Linked DNA regions of Rhinolophus ferrumequinum. The protein of the gene in region 2 binds, or shares a complex with, the protein of the main gene of each other region. Links are inferred from orthologs where the notes say so. Each region holds a gene or a part of one and is shown on either strand. Other genes may lie near its edges.

Region 1 (7,930 bases), on a different chromosome or scaffold from region 2:
CACAGCTAAATTTGTGAATGTGTACCTACCAGGCCCTATAAAATCCTATATGATCCTGCCTAATTCTTTGACACCATTTCCTCTCCACTCTTGTCTGGGCACACAGTAGGTACTGGATATTATTAGGTTGGTGCAACAGTAAGTGAGGTTTAAAAAGTTAAAAAAAAAAATTGCAAACACTGCAATTACTTTTGCACCAACCTAATAACAAGTTAAAACTTATTGAGTACTGTATGTTGAGTATGCTAACTAGTTACATACATTAGTTCATTTAATGATATAAACAGTGGCTCTTAACATTTTCTGGGTAAGCCACATCTTTTGAAATCTGGAAGAAAAACAAGCTATGGACCTATTCCCTGAAAATGTATATGTGTCTTAATTTTTTCAACATATGCTTTTCTATAAACTGAATTTTCCCCCCAAATATTCTAAGAGAATTTCCAATGGCATTCTAATTGGTAAAGAACTCAACTCGAATAAATAACTAAAGCATTCCAAAAATGGTAACAAAGAAAAGCTGTGTGTAACACAAAATGTCAATTTTTCAAATTCCTAAGGGATATTATGATGAGAAGCTCAACTATAACAAAAATACACTTATTGGGAGTAGGATCCAGTAATCAACAAGGATGGCCTTATGATACCATACTTTGGGGCATAACTCAGACTGCATTGAGATTTACTCTCATACATTCAGTAATTAGATGGCTTTACTTGATTTCAGTTTTCTCCTTTTCAAAGAAGTCCCAGCAAACTTAGCATTAAAAAGACAAATGAGTAAATTACCTAAACTTTTACAAACCATTATTATTTGAATTAAAATTTAAAGACAGAGATAAGTAGAACACTAAAAATAAAGTGAGAGCGCTAGGCAGTGAAATGTTTCAGGATGAGATACTTATTTAGAAGCTGAATTTAAATTCAAAGTGCTCAATTTGATTTTGTCAGATTTTAAAAAATGTTTATGTGGAGAAGGGTGAAACTCTATAAAAGATGAGACTGAAAACTTTTAAAAATTAAGAGTGCAAATAATTAATGGAGATGGACCAAAGGAAAAAATATGTTTCTAATACTCTTCCTGGCCAAAGAAGGAAAAAGAAATTAAGACAAGGATAAATGAAACACAACGAACACAGCTCTAAAATCTCCAAAACGTATAAATCTAAAAATAACCTTATAATAAAATAAAAATTGTTATAGCAATTACTTCTACTTCTATCACTTGGCTGACTTTTTTTAAAAATTGTGGTAAAAGATACATAATATACAATTTACCCTTTTCACCATTTTTAAGTGTATAGTTCAGTGACATTAAGTACATTCACAATGTTGTGTAACCATCATCACCATCCATCTCCAGAACTTTTTCACCTTCCCAAAATGAAACTACTCATTAAACAGTAACTCCCCATTCCCTTGGCTGACTTTTTTAATAAACCCCCCCCCCCAACATTTTTTCTGGCAAGAAAAGGACATTTTAACAAGAGAGTACCCAGGCAGGAAAAAGAATCTCCTTTGACTCTGAACACCCATAATTTCTTATACAGTCTGTACCTGCACTCAAAAAACTTAAGACTCAGTTAAACTTGAAACTGAAGACAAAGTAATATATTATTTATGTATATACCTAATTATTCTTTCAATAAATGTTCATTGAAGGCCTACTACTTGCCAGACACTTGCTAAGCCCTTAGGATCCAACTATAAACAAGGCAGACTTGGAATTTATAATCTAGTGTGAAAGGGGCAAAGTTAACAGAATAACTGTCTTACAATGAAGATACTGAGATAGTGAACAATGGTGAAGAGGGGTAAATGTGTTCTGGGAAAGACTCTCAGGGAGGCAACATCTCAAATGAGACCTGAAACTGCAAGTGTTTACATGTTTGATTAATCTTTTCCTCTCCCAAAGCACCTAGCGTTATGCCTTTCATACAGCAGGTAGTTGATATAGCTAGCATTCTTGGCCTCAATTTCCTCATTCCTGAAATGAACTTCTAAGATTCCTTCCACACAGAAAATGTGTTGGTTTGAGGAGGGAAAAATCACATATCAATGAAATGGACGTGGGGATGGGGGCAGTGGAAGGAAAAACTGAGTTCAGAAATGACTACAAGACTCTAACTCTCTAAAGGGGAATCGAGAGCATGAGCACTTAGTTGCTGAGATGACATGCGTCTTAGACAATAGTATATAAACAGAAATCGTTCATTCATTCAGCTTAAGGAAACAACACATACAGCTGAAGCAAGACAAGTTGAGGCGTGTGCTAGATTGCAATAAAAAATTCAATCCTCATTTTCCTGGGGACTCTCAGGGCGAGTGGCCGAGAAGTTCTCCCACTTCTCTTGCTGCCAGGGCAACGGTATCAATCTGGGGAGATAGGAGAGAATCATGTTTCCTTCCTTTTCAGTCCCGGGATGAGGTCGGCCACCAATCCCAGCTAGAGTTTGAGAGAATCACTCCAGATGATCAAAGGTAAGAGAACCGACCCTTAATGGGGCGCCACAGAAGGAGAAAGCTACATACGGTAAGTCATCTCTTTCCCTCCAGCAGTATCTCCTCCTCGGTCTCAGGTCCACCCAAATGGGGCTAAAGGAAGGGCAAGGCCCGTGGTGGGACCTTCGCGGGTACCCTCCTCTACCCTCCTGGTACACAGCAGGGAGGCAGGGCACCTTCGGAGCCGCTGTGAAAAATCGGCGATGTGAAGACGCACCCGCATCCCAAGGAAGAGAAGTGGAAGAGAAAGGAGAGGAGCCAAAGAAAGAAGTGTTAGTTCGAGAGGCAGACGGAGAGCGGAGCAAAGGAGGTTGCAGGTGAAGGATCGCCGAGCCGGCTCTTACCGTCTGTGGGAGACGCCATCTTCCAACCCATGTCACGTGACGTGGCCAACCGTCGGCGGGAAAGCTAGGACCCATAAGCCACGCCCCCAAAGAGAAACCCAATCCCCAACTCGCAGTCCCGTCTCATTTCCCCGCCCATAGGGCAATCTTTGCTTAACCCCGCCCCCAGCGCTGGTCACACCCCCTCGCGCACTGCATGAGGTGGAGCGACTGCAAAATTACTGGAGGGTTTTATTTACTTTCTCCAATGACGGGGTGGGGCCGCAGTCATCGCGGTGGCCAATCGGGATTCCCGGTTAGGGGGCGTCGTCCCTGTGTGCTGAATATAGAGTACTCAAGTCAGGGGCGTCTTCCCTGCCTCTGCCAACAGAATTTGCTGAGGTGGGAGAGGGCCGAGAGATCTTTCACTTCTGACCAATCACATGTCCTCCCAACTGGGAGTGGAGTCATAGTTAGGGCGCGTGATTGGCTGGTCCTCTCCACCAATGAGGAGGTGCGGCAGGATGGAGAGGCGAAATCTGGCAGCCGTGTGCTTCTGGGAGTCCCGGGCGGTAGAGGCACCCCGAGGCGGAGAAGAGGCAGCTGAGAACCATGGCGGCGGTAGTGGCGGCGGCGGCAGTGAGGGCTCGGATCCTGCAGGCGAGTGAGGGTGGCGCCGAGGGGTCGCGAAGCTAGGAACTGTGTCCTTTCCGTCCACTCTCTGAGCCCACGACTTCTTGGCCCACCCTACTGTTCCCATCTTACCTGTGCGGCCCTTGTCTCACTCTCCTCACTCCGTAGCCGCCCTCGTTGGATCCAGCCCAGGACTGTCACCCCTCTAGCCCCCCACCCTTTGACTCTTGGGCCTCCCCTCATCTGGCTCTGGCCCACCCCGCTCCTCCAGCCCTGCCCCCGTTATTGCTGTGACACTTTCTTGCCCTCACCGCTGTCGCCGCACACATTCTTTCACCTCTGCACCTGCAACCGATCGATCTCCTCTGTACTTGAAACCTGTCTCCCCAGAAACTCCCCTCTGGTCACCTTTTTTAGAGCTCCTTCACCTGCCCTGTGCGTCCAGATTGTTCCCTTCCCCCACCCTACTTCACTGTCTATAATCCGAGCTAAGGGGTGGGGAGGAGGCACATGAGGGGCGAGGGTCAGTGAATGAACTTGAATCTCCTCCGAGAAGTGTACAGTAGGTTTCCCCCCCAAAGAAGCCCGTTTCCCTAGCTTTGGTTATTTGTATTTTCCACAGGCCATGAGCAGTGTGCCCTTGCTTGCTAGGACTTTCAGTTAAACACTCAGCAAAGTTACAGTGTTCCTGTTAGCGGTAAATAAGGACACATATTTATGTTCCTACTTTGTTCCAAGTACGTGCACGGAACAAAACATCTCTAACACAGGTGATAGAAAATGGGAGCCAAGGAAGACAAGAAGGGCAAGTCCCAAGCTCCTGCCCCCAGGTCAGCTCTTCGTGGGCCAACACACCCTCAGCAGTGCCCATGGGGTGTGGGGGTGGGGTCCTCTGTGAAGCCAGCCTTAGAAGAGCTGGTAGAGCTACCGGAGCTCATGCCTGAGGCCTGGGATTCTCTAACTGTTCAAGGCCTTTCCCCTGTTCTTCACAACCTAGCAAGGACTTAGAACATGAGGCAAGATTTACTGCAGTCAACGTTCTCCAACCTGCAAGAAAAAGCATTGCCCTTACTCATTAATCCAGCCTGGGAACTTATTTCTCTATATTGCTGGACGTTTCGATAATAATAGTATTTATCAGGTTTCAGTGAGTTCTACTGCATAAACTTATGCATTTTTAAGATTCTTAGCAGAGTCAGCAGAGGTTAATGTTTAAATATGCTGTTTACTAGGATAGTGTGGAGAATGGGTTGGAAGCGTTTGTCAGATGGTCTGACTTCACTCATGTAATTCTTGCTGTGATCCTAGTTTTATTTTCCTAGTATCTTTTTTTCACAATGGGGAATCAGTTTCCACCCGGTAGTATTTTCCATTACTAACTTCTCTATGAACTCTTTGACTGAAATTGACTTTTGCCTACTTCCCCTCCACTCAGTCACAATGAGTCATTGACAGCTTTAAGAAGATATTTTGTCTTTTGCATCAAGAAGAAGAATCTCCCTTCCCATGTACTTTATTTTGGAAACAGACACTATTTTCTGATTCATGTGAAGAAACTTCTAAGTTGAACTAGAAAAGAACAGAAATAGTAATCCTTAGCCAACTAATAGTTACTGTAACATGAAACTTTGATAAAGAGTAGTCTAGATCCTGGCAGTTGTAAGTTTTAGAGGACTATCAAAAGGGTCTGTAAAGGAGAGAGTTCATGTTTTCAGTTATTTAAAGTACATATTTAGTGGGTCTTCTCTGTTTTGGTGGCTAGTAAAATTGAGAACTTCTGCTCCTTGTGGTATTATCACTCCCATTGAGAAAACCAGTCTTAGGGAGTCTCAGTGACTTACCTCAGTGATGTAGAAAGAGTACAGGCTTCAGTCATACTTGGATTCTACCTCAGCTTCACCACTTTCTAAGTTTAAGAATATTTGTGAAGATTAGAATTAACAGATATAATAAAGTAAGTTACCTAACACTTAAGGCTAAGGTCATCCAAAATCTCTCAACTAGTAACTGAATTCGGAAATGAAGTCTTGGCATCTCTTTCTGTGTCAGGCACTTACCCCAGGCTTTGGGAAAGGAGAGATAAATAAAATACTCGCTGAAAGCTTCCCTATTGTAATGCAGTAATAAGTGCTAAACAATAAGAATGCACAGGGTATTTGGGAAACAAACTCAGCCTGTGCAATTCAGGAAAGCTTCCAAAATGGGTTGGCTCTGTCTGGGCTTGAGTCTTGCAAGACTAGCAGGCCTTTAGCCAAGAGGAGAAGGGAGTTCCTGGTAAAGGAAATACCAAGTATGAAATAAACATCTAGAGAACAAGATGTTAGATGTGACTAGGCATAGGATAGTTTCTTTAGCAAGAGTGCTAATGATTGTTTCTAGGGAAATGAAACAAAGAAAGGAGGATATCTAACCTGTCAAAAACTATGTGATAATGTTTTATTATACCAAATGCAGTGCCTTTTATGCCCTCTTGATAGCAGGGAGGCTGTGTGCAAGTGAAAATAAAACTAAGTGGCCTAGAATGCTCAAGCTGGCTGATCTATGCATTTTCTGCCCTATAAGAGAGTACACATGAAACAAAATTAATATCAAACAATTGCTTGGTGAGTACTCATTCTTTCATTCTGCAAAATATCACTAACTGCTTACTCTATTCCAAAAATGGCGCGAGGGGCCGAGGACACAGTCATCTAGTGATCTAAGGGCATCATTTATTAGTATGAAGGGGAGACAGAGTTAATAATTAAACAAGCTATTATTCCATAAGGTGGTATGAGGAATAGAAGAACTCAGGTGTTTTATGAATTGCACCATCAGGTTCTTAGCCTGGACTTGAGATTGAGACTTAAAAACTTCCAAGTCTGTTATTTCGCTCACTCTTAGGAGTTAACCTTGTTTCTCCTACTTCAGAGGAAGCGGAAACGATCAAGTGAGAACCTCCTGAACTTCCTATTAGCAAACCTGCAAATCTGACGTGCACCTACACCCCAAGTGATGGCTAAGTAGGGAGCAAAAGAGTAGGGGTAAGTCAAGCAAATGGGATAAAACAATTCCAGGAAAGAGGAAGCAACATGTGCAAGGACAAAGAGAGCACAAAACATGTTCCGAATGGCTGGGTCATAGAGCAAGGAGGAAAGTGGCAACCTATGAAACCAGAGAAGTAAAGATACTATGTAGAGTCTTCTAAGCAACAAAAACATTTGTCTTTATCCCAAGGGTGGTGGCAAGTCATTGGAGGGTTTTAAACAAGGGGGTGGTCTGACCAGATTTGTGTTTTAGAAAGACCCTCTGGTTAGGGGGTGGAAACTAGATTCAGAAAGTTTAAGATTGAAATCCAGGTGAGAGACAATGATGGTGTAGACTGGGGTGGTAGCAGGACGGGTAGAGAAAAAGGGGTGTATTCAAACACGGGAGAACAAATTGCCAGGACTTGTTTGATTTGCTATAAAGAGAAACAGAGTAGTTGGGTGACATTCAGGTTTCTGGTTGGGCAACTAGGTGACTAGTAGTCCCGTTCACTGAAAAGTGGGCTATAGGAAGCAGAGCAGATTGATGGGAGGAAGATGAGGAGTTCAGCTTTTTCAATATGTGCCTAAATAATATCCACATAGAGATATAGTGAAGACAGTTATGTGGGTATTACCTGAAGAGAGAGATTTGGGCATCATCGGGATCTAGGTAATTAAACCACAGAGTTGTGGCGATCACTCAAGGAGAGTATGCAGAATGAGAAGAAGGCCTACGACCAAGCTTTGAGGACCTAACTCGATGTGACCAGGTAGAAGAGAATGTCAGCAAAGAAGGCAGACAAGTGGCCCAAGAGATAAAAGAGATACCAGGTATCACAGAAGACAAGTGAAAGGGGGATCAGAAAGGAGGGCATGATTGACGATGTGTTACATAAAATTTCCAAGGGCTGAGAGACCAAACAAAGAGTCTGATAATTCTATCATTACAGAAAGAGGTTTTTTTTGTTGTTGTTGTTTTCTAACGATTTTTTTGGAGAAGGAGAACAGGACTTTATTGGGGAACAGTGTGTATTTCCAGGACTTTATTGGGAAGCTGTGTTTTTCCCAGAACCCGTCAGGTTGTTGTCCTTTCGATCTTAGTTGTGGAGGGCGCAGCTCAGCTCCAAGTCCAGTTGCCATTCGGTTCAATCTTAGTTGCAGGGGGCACAGCCCACCATCCCTTGCGGGAGTCGAACCGGCAACCTTGTGGTTGAGAGCACATGCTCCAACCAACTGAGCCATCCGGCTGCACGGGAGCTCAGCGGCAGGTCATTGTCTTCAATCTAGTTGCGGAGGGCACAGCTCACTGGCCCAGGTGGGAATCGAATTGGCAACCCTGTTGCCCAGAGCTCATGCTCTAACCAACTGAGCTACCTGTCTGCCCCCATAAAGAGTTTTTTAAGGGAACTTATATACGAGGCTCATCTTGGGTGACAGAAAGACAGCATGCATAGTCTCTGTGCC
Region 2 (7,200 bases):
ATGGGCTCTTTTATTGTCTTCTTTATTTTCAAGAACAGGATGTCAAAAGCTACAAGAGAAAAAGCAGTGGAGATTTCACCAAGAATATTGTGATATTCAAAACCCGACCCCCATTTAATATTCTCTTTTCAGTGACAAAACTTCGTAAACTTGCATGGATAGTCTAAGGATTGAAGCTGATGACATATGCAATCATCAAGTGCCAGAATTTTAAGAAATATTGGTTATTTGGGAAAAACATTTTAAAATACATTATCTTACTAACTATGCCCATTTTTGCATATCCCCTCTCAATCCTTGGGAACACACAGGCATAATTTATGGAGAGAAAAATCAACTTTTTGAATTCTTGATGTTTTTATTTTCTAGCAGGCAATTTTCCAAGTTGCTCTAAAATCTTCATCAGGTTTAATGATTATCCACCTCCAGTGATGTCAGGTGTGCCCCGGTTAGTGAGCTCCCAACTCCCTGTGGTGAGTGGGACCTGTGTCAGGTCACCAGTCAGGTACATTCCTAAGTCAGCCATTTGGAAGTGAGAAAAGCCTACACTTCTCCAAACAGGCAAGGCAAGTACAGGCCCAGTGTGAAAAGAAGGAAGAGGGCTTCCTTCTCAACTTCCTTTCCCCTTCTCCAGAAGTCAGTATCTCCCTGTGCTCCCAGGGCACCTTGGCAATCCTCCTAGCTCAGAATGTAGGCCCTTAGGCTACCTGTCTCCTTGACATCTACACAGAGGTCAGCTCCACCTCCACAGCTGCAGAGCCTTAGGGGATTGGTATCAAAAGATCTTAAATGTTTGCTCAGGGAATGCCCGGTACTGAAATGAATGAATAAACACACAAAGCTGTTGCCTATTAGTAGATAAGAAATAGCAATTAAAATAAAATTTTTAGAAGTAGAAAAGGAAGGGTCTAAGAGTGTCTAATCCCAGCAATACATTAGTCACAGGAGCTGGAATTCCTGACCAAATTCATGGGGTCCTCCATTGCAAAGTAGGAGACAAAAATTCTACAAGATACTTGTAACAGAATGAATGAAGCTGGCTTTAAAATCAACTACCCCCAGACCTCTTTCTGACAGTTACCTTTGGTTCCCTAGCACCCAACTTCTGATAGACGCTCAGCAGATGTTCCTTCAAGGATGAAGAAGTGTCTTTCTACACTTTCTAATGCTCTGATACTCTACTTAATGGGACCAACAACTCAGCTGGGCGAATTCTGAGATAAACTTCTATCACCAATATAGTGCTAACCATCCACTTCACAGGCATTCTCATTATCCCCACTTAATAGATGTGGAAATTGAGGCTCCCTGGAATTAGGCCACTTGCCAAGTCCACTGAGCGAGGCTCCAAACCTACACTTTCAAGTTCTCCCCTAGTAATCCCAGCTGAAAAGGCAGAAGCCAAGTCAGTGGTGGCAACCACGTGGAGGTCCAACACACCCATTCTACACCCTTGGATGTGCTGGGCTCTGCTCCAGGTGGGGTGAGTCAGAAGCTGAGCGGGAAGTGGGGCACCAGTGCAGAGAAGTTACAGCAAGTGGCCAAGGATGAAGCGGAGGGCTGTGGGGTGAGAGTGCAGGAGGGGGTTCCTACACTGAGCCCCAGGGAGAAGTGGCAGAAGGCCTGGCTTTTATGGCTCCTTGGAGTAACACTCCCTGAACCAAAAATCAGGAAAGGGTCTGACAAGTGCTTGACCAGAGAACTCCTGAGGAGTGGAGCTGACCTAGGAAATTGTGGCCTGAGGAAGAGGCACCCTGACCACTGCCCAGGGATCAGATGCTTCTGTGCTGAAAAGAACTCTGGGGAAAGCCTGCAAAGAGTGCTTTTCAAGTCGATATCCTCAGCCTGAGAAGGCAAACACCATCCAGAGAGGGGTTTAAGGTTATCTGGGCTGCATGAATCCAGGGAGGGCACAGGGCAGGAGCTCATTGTCCTCCCTGACTCCCAGGCTGGCTGAAAAGCCCAGAGCTCAAGCCCCAGGCACACAGGTGTAAGAAAGGCACCTGGAGCCCACAGACCCGGTCTCAGGCTCAACCCTACCACTTATTCTCCAGGGGAATAAGTAAAATGGAGACCGCAGTTCCTGCCTGGGCCCCAGGGGCTGCTGGCACAGAGAGGTCGTGATACACATCAGTCTCTCTTCCTCGTCCGTCACCTTTAACTCCAGCTGCCCAAAACTCCTCATGTGGAGCAGTTAAGTCTCTGAAACTCAACCCAGCTGGGGCCGCGATCCCAGGTGGTGGGGGACAAAAGAGGGCCTCCTCACCCCCCGGCACTCTTCTTAGGCCGGGGAGAGGACTTGGGGTGCTCTGTACTTTCCCGAATGCTGAGAAAAACCGCCCACCAGCAAATCTGAACCCAAAGAGGCTTGAACGACAAGTGTCTTCCAGGTTTGGCCTCTCGCGCGCTGTGACTTAGAGAATCCCTTTCCCTCTCCAGGGGTCGCCTCCCTCCCCGGTCATGGCTCTTCCAGCGGACACCGCCGTCCTACCCCCAACCCGAAATTAGGCGGGAGGCAAAATGACATCATGCAGGGATTGGCCCAGGGCCCAAGAGACCCGCCCGCCCCGGCTCCGAGGCCCAGCAGGCTTGGGAAACTGAACGATGGGCCCAAAGAGACCCCCGGCTTCGCGCGCCCCCTGCCTCGGGCGGCCCAGGACTCAGCATTCCCGCGGGAAACCCCCACACCCGCCCGCTCGGAGGGACTATGATGAGGATGGGGGTAGAGCAGGGGTCGGGATGGAGGAGGATGGGACCTGGGGAGTGGGTAGGGGACCTAAGCCTCCTGGCTTTGCTCACCCGCGCGTTCGCCGAGACATCCCCCCGGCCCGGGCCGCGCCGCGCTCGCCTGCCCGCCGGCTGAGCCCGGAGCGGGAGCCGGGCCGGGGTCAGAGCGCGGGCTGCTTTGGCCGCTCCGGGCCTCGGGGCCGCGCTGGAAGGCTTCAGCGTGCCCGCAGGTCCCACCGCGGCTCGCAGGAGCTGCAGCTGCCGCCGGCGCGCGCAGAAGCACTTTCCTATCTCCCGCCAAGCGCGTCGGCACCGCCCGGGCCTGGCGCGCTGGCGGGCGGGCGGGCTTGGGGGCGGGGCCTGGTGGAGGCGGGGCTGAGCCCCGGCCCAGTAGGCAGGCAGGCCGGCTGCGCACAGCTCCAGAGCCCTGAAGTCCCAGGGCAGGTAGGACAAGGCCTGTGGCACCTTGGGAGACAGGGCTCTGAACACGCTGCCCAGTGACTGAGGCTCACGCCATGTGTGAATCAGAGCCGCCAAGGAGTAGCCCACACAGCCAAGATTAAGGATACGGAGTGAGCCGCAGGGATGGGAAAATCAGGCTGGGGATACCATCCGTGCAAAGACCCCAGGACTACTCCAAGCTGCTCCTACGGTCTATAGAACCCCCCTCCCCGCCCCAAGGTGGCCAACTCACCTAAACCAGGGCTGTGCCTTAGAACCGTCTCCCTGCTTCCTCTCCAGCCTCGAATTCAGGGGCTCTGGCTCCTCGGATGGACTCCTGACAGCTCGAGAGATCCTCCTAAATTGTAAAACTGATCTAGCCTCTCCAGAACTTAAAACCTCTGCCCTCATTCTCTGAGTAAAATGCACCTTAATCTGGTTTATAGGATTCTGCCAGATCACCACCTCACCCCTTACCATAGGAAACTTACTGGGCTCCTTGCGTTTGCTTGGGCCATTACCTGGGCCAGGAACACTTCCTGCCCCTCCCACCTGACTATTTCCTATTTATCCTTGGGGTTCACTGCCCACAATCTGTTTATAAACTTGTGCGTCTCCCCTTTGAACTGTAGGCATACTGATGTCCAAGTGGCCCCTGCATTCACCACAGGATCCCCAAGACCCAGAATTCAACTGTGGAGTTGAATTCTGTTTCCCACTCAGGTGATTAAACTCTTAGAGGCTTAGCAAGGATTTTCCATTTTAAGTTGCCATTTACCAAGTACCCTCCACACCCTGCTCCCTGGGACGAGTGCTGAAAGCAAGGTAAATGAACTCTGAGACAGGAGCCTGGGGAGACCTGGCTGAACCCCACCTTCTTAGCCCCTGCGTATGCCTCAGACCCCTCTTCCAGAAACTGCTGGACCCCTGGGGACAGTCCTGCCAGCTGGTGTAAACCTCATTTCCCGCAGAAGGAACGCTGACGTCTTAAGTGCTAGAAGTTTCCACAACAATTAATTCAGCGCTTATGTCACCCACCTCCCTCATAAAGTAATTCATATGGACATCACGTTTTCATTGCTAGGCCATAGTATTTAAGAGTCCAGGCTCTGAAGCCAAACTTCCTAAAGTTTGATTCCCGGCTCTATCATTTACTACCGTGTTTCCCGGAAAATAAGACCGGGTCTTATATTAATTTTTGCTCCAAAAGACGCATTAGGGCTTATGTTCAGGGGATGTCACCCTGAAAAATCATGCTAGGGCTTATTTTCCAGCTAGGTCTTATTTTCAGGGAAACACGGTAGTTGTGTGGTCTTAGGCAAATTACTTAACTCCTCTGTGCATCAGTGTTCTCACCTGTAAAAATAAGATTTTTCAAAAACTTAGATAGCTTTTCCTTATGTGCCAGCCACTGTTCTGTATGCTTTCCAAATTTTAATCCATTTAATCCTCATAACAACTCTATTAGGTAGTATTAATATTATCTTCTTTTGGTAGATGGGGAAACTGAGACACAGTATCCTGTCCCCCTCCACCCCCCGCCCCCCATGTCACATTGCTAGTAAATGGCAAAGCAGGGATTCAAACCTAGGCTGTCTAGTTCTCCAGTGTATGCTCTCAATCACTAACTACACTGGTACCTACTTTGTCGGGTGGTTGTAGGATTAAATAAATTAATGTATAAACCACTGAAAACAATCCGTGGTACATAATAAGTACTATATTACTTTTAGTTGTTATTATTTTTATTATTACTCTTCAGCTACCCTCATGCTTGTCCGTTGAGGTTCAGGAAGTTGCTTGGCACACTGTACGTACTCTCACAAGCATCATCAGTCTCTCGCCGCCCGCGACGACCCGGGGCAGTGACTTGACCTGTTCTAGGCGCCCGGAAGGAAACGGAGGCCTAAGACCCGGTGCTGTCGGACTGCGGGTCCCACGCCTCCGCCCACAAAGCACCCACTACAGGCGCGCGCGCTCCGACTCAGGCACCGCGCGGGGCATCGCGGGAGTCTCTTCGCTACCTGACGTCACCAGGGGGCGCCTGCGCTCGGGGTCCGCTTGGAGCCTCTCGGGTTTCGGCAGCTTGGTCCCCCGCAACTGTCTTGCCTTCGATCCCGCCAGCCCCGCGCCCCCCGAGTCATCGTCGCTGGGAGACCTCCCTTGACGCCTGCCTTTTGGGGTCGTGCGGAGGAAGAAAAGCTCCGCGGATGAGAGGGAGCAGGGAGGGTACATCTTCGGCCTCTGACATTTTGGCGGTCACAGGAGTTCGCGGTTAGTAATCGCCCCCGGCCCGGAGCCCTGTAGACCCCATTCTGCCTCTAGCCTCCCCTGATGACTCCCCGTGTGCGTCAGCAGCTCTGGACAAGCCCCTAACACTGCAAATTTCCTTTATGCTGTTTGTCACCGTTTTCTACTCTTAGGAGGTTAATGTCTCTCCGGGATTAGATTATGGGCTGCCTGCAGGAGCGCAGCCCTGGGGTGAAACAGTAGGCTTCATGTTAAAATTTGGCATAAGCAAGATTTTTATTTTTAAAGTGTGTATTTCTTCCTGTCTCTTAAAGGCGGAGAAAAAAAGTTGATAATATTGGTTGCACGAAGGGGAACTGAATGCCTGAAGAGGGTGAAATTCTTTCTCTTCATCCTTCAGTTCCGTTTTCAGTTATTACCTAAATTTTTTTATTTAAAGAAATTTTTAAATTTCATTAAGGCATATGTAGTGCCCTGTGACCTTTTAGGGAACAGTAACCTAAGGAAAGCCAACTAGATCTATGAATCATAAGATACCACAAAATTTCCTCCTTGCTCTTAGGGAAAGAAAAAGATGTTTTGTCACCAACACACATCTCCCCTTTCTCTTTGTTATCTCCTCTTCTTTTTGACACTAATGCTTCTCCAGTCAGAGGTGTATTTTACTCCAACAAAATCTCCAGTAATAAAATTATGCTGTTACCTGCTAGGACTAGTACTGTAACTTTTTTTTTTTTTTTAAGAATGAACTTGAAACACTTGTTCAAGTCAGTTAACTTTTTCATCTCAAGAGGCTGGAAAAAGTTCGTGCACATAGGTGAACAGCAACTGGGGTTAAAGGGCATTCTTATATTAATAGTTCACGTTTGAATTTAAAGCACCCCTGCTCACTACCTTAACCAAGTGATTCAACTTCATTTCACTAATAGAGGTCCAATCTGACCTCGTATTATACACAGCATCACCTATGAAATAGTCTTGCCAAAAATGTTTAATTGAAAGCTAGTCAAGCCTTTAAACCTAACCTCCAGTTCGCAAGAAATAAAGGAGCTAAAGGGAGAAGTTAGTAGACACCATGATGAAACTATCAGATAAACCCAGAGTGAGGGACACCTAATTTAATCTCATCAAAAAGTCAATGCCATTAAAAAAAGAAACAAAAGAGGTAGGCAGACTAGAGACAAATCCAATGTGTGAACCATGACTGGATCCTGGCTTGAAAAAAACATCTATAAAACATACTTTGGGGACAATTTGGAGGCATTTGAATAAGCATTAAATAGTACGTCATAATGGTATATTGTAGTTATAGAATGAAGTATATTTAGGGGTAAAGTGTTATATCCGATTTCATTTCAAGTGTTCAGTAAGAAAAATTAACATAAAGCATATATGGCAGTATGTTAGTTTTTGAAAATAAATGGTGGGTACTGGTGTTTATTGTATTAGTCTTTCCACTTTCCTGTTTCAATTTTTTCATCAGAAGCTGGGGGAAACACATCCTTGCCAGAAGGCATCCATAGATGAAGGGAAAAAGCCAGCTGACCCATGGCTATCCAGGCCTTGCCGCTCCAGGCACCTTCTCCAGTTAGGAGTGGTGGGAGAAGCCCCAGGTTAGTCGGAGGCCTGTCACTGCTCCTCTGTCCCTAGGGCTCCCTACGCCTCTGTGTCCCCTTTGGAAAGTGAAACTTTGTATTCGATTCAGATAGATCCAAAAAGTTCCTTCTAAATTGTAGGTATCTAGTGATCTATTGCTGCATAACCAATTGCTCCAAATTAATG

The links.
Region 1: the proteins of MYBL2 (region 2) and LIN52 are in contact, whole or in part, in a crystal structure (PDB 6C48), measured with the Homo sapiens proteins. The link is inferred for Rhinolophus ferrumequinum from reciprocal best matches to the Homo sapiens genes MYBL2 and LIN52. Residues at the interface, in NP_002457.1 of Homo sapiens: Trp663, Val666, Ala667, Gly669, Thr671, Asp673, Gln674, Phe676, Lys680, Ala681, Gln683, Leu684; in NP_001019845.2 of Homo sapiens: Gln84, Ala87, Tyr88, Gly91, Leu92, Glu94, Ser95, Met98, Thr99, Lys102, Phe103, Leu107, Glu108, Lys109.

The regions. Positions count from the first base shown.
Region 1 is NC_046289.1:24,300,849-24,308,778, forward strand, and holds the start of LIN52 (protein lin-52 homolog), read right to left. Parts: upstream 3,013-7,930; 5' UTR 2,878-3,012; coding exon 2,847-2,877; intron 2,702-2,846; exon of another isoform or gene 2,543-2,701; coding exon of another isoform or gene 2,533-2,542; intron 1-2,532. Other genes in the region: ALDH6A1 (methylmalonate-semialdehyde dehydrogenase [acylating], mitochondrial), read left to right, coding at 3,438-3,485.
Region 2 is NC_046306.1:13,696,777-13,703,976, forward strand, and holds the start of MYBL2 (myb-related protein B), read right to left. Parts: upstream 3,015-7,200; 5' UTR 2,820-3,014; coding exon 2,800-2,819; intron 1-2,799. UniProt on the Homo sapiens protein: Transcription factor involved in the regulation of cell survival, proliferation, and differentiation. Transactivates the expression of the CLU gene.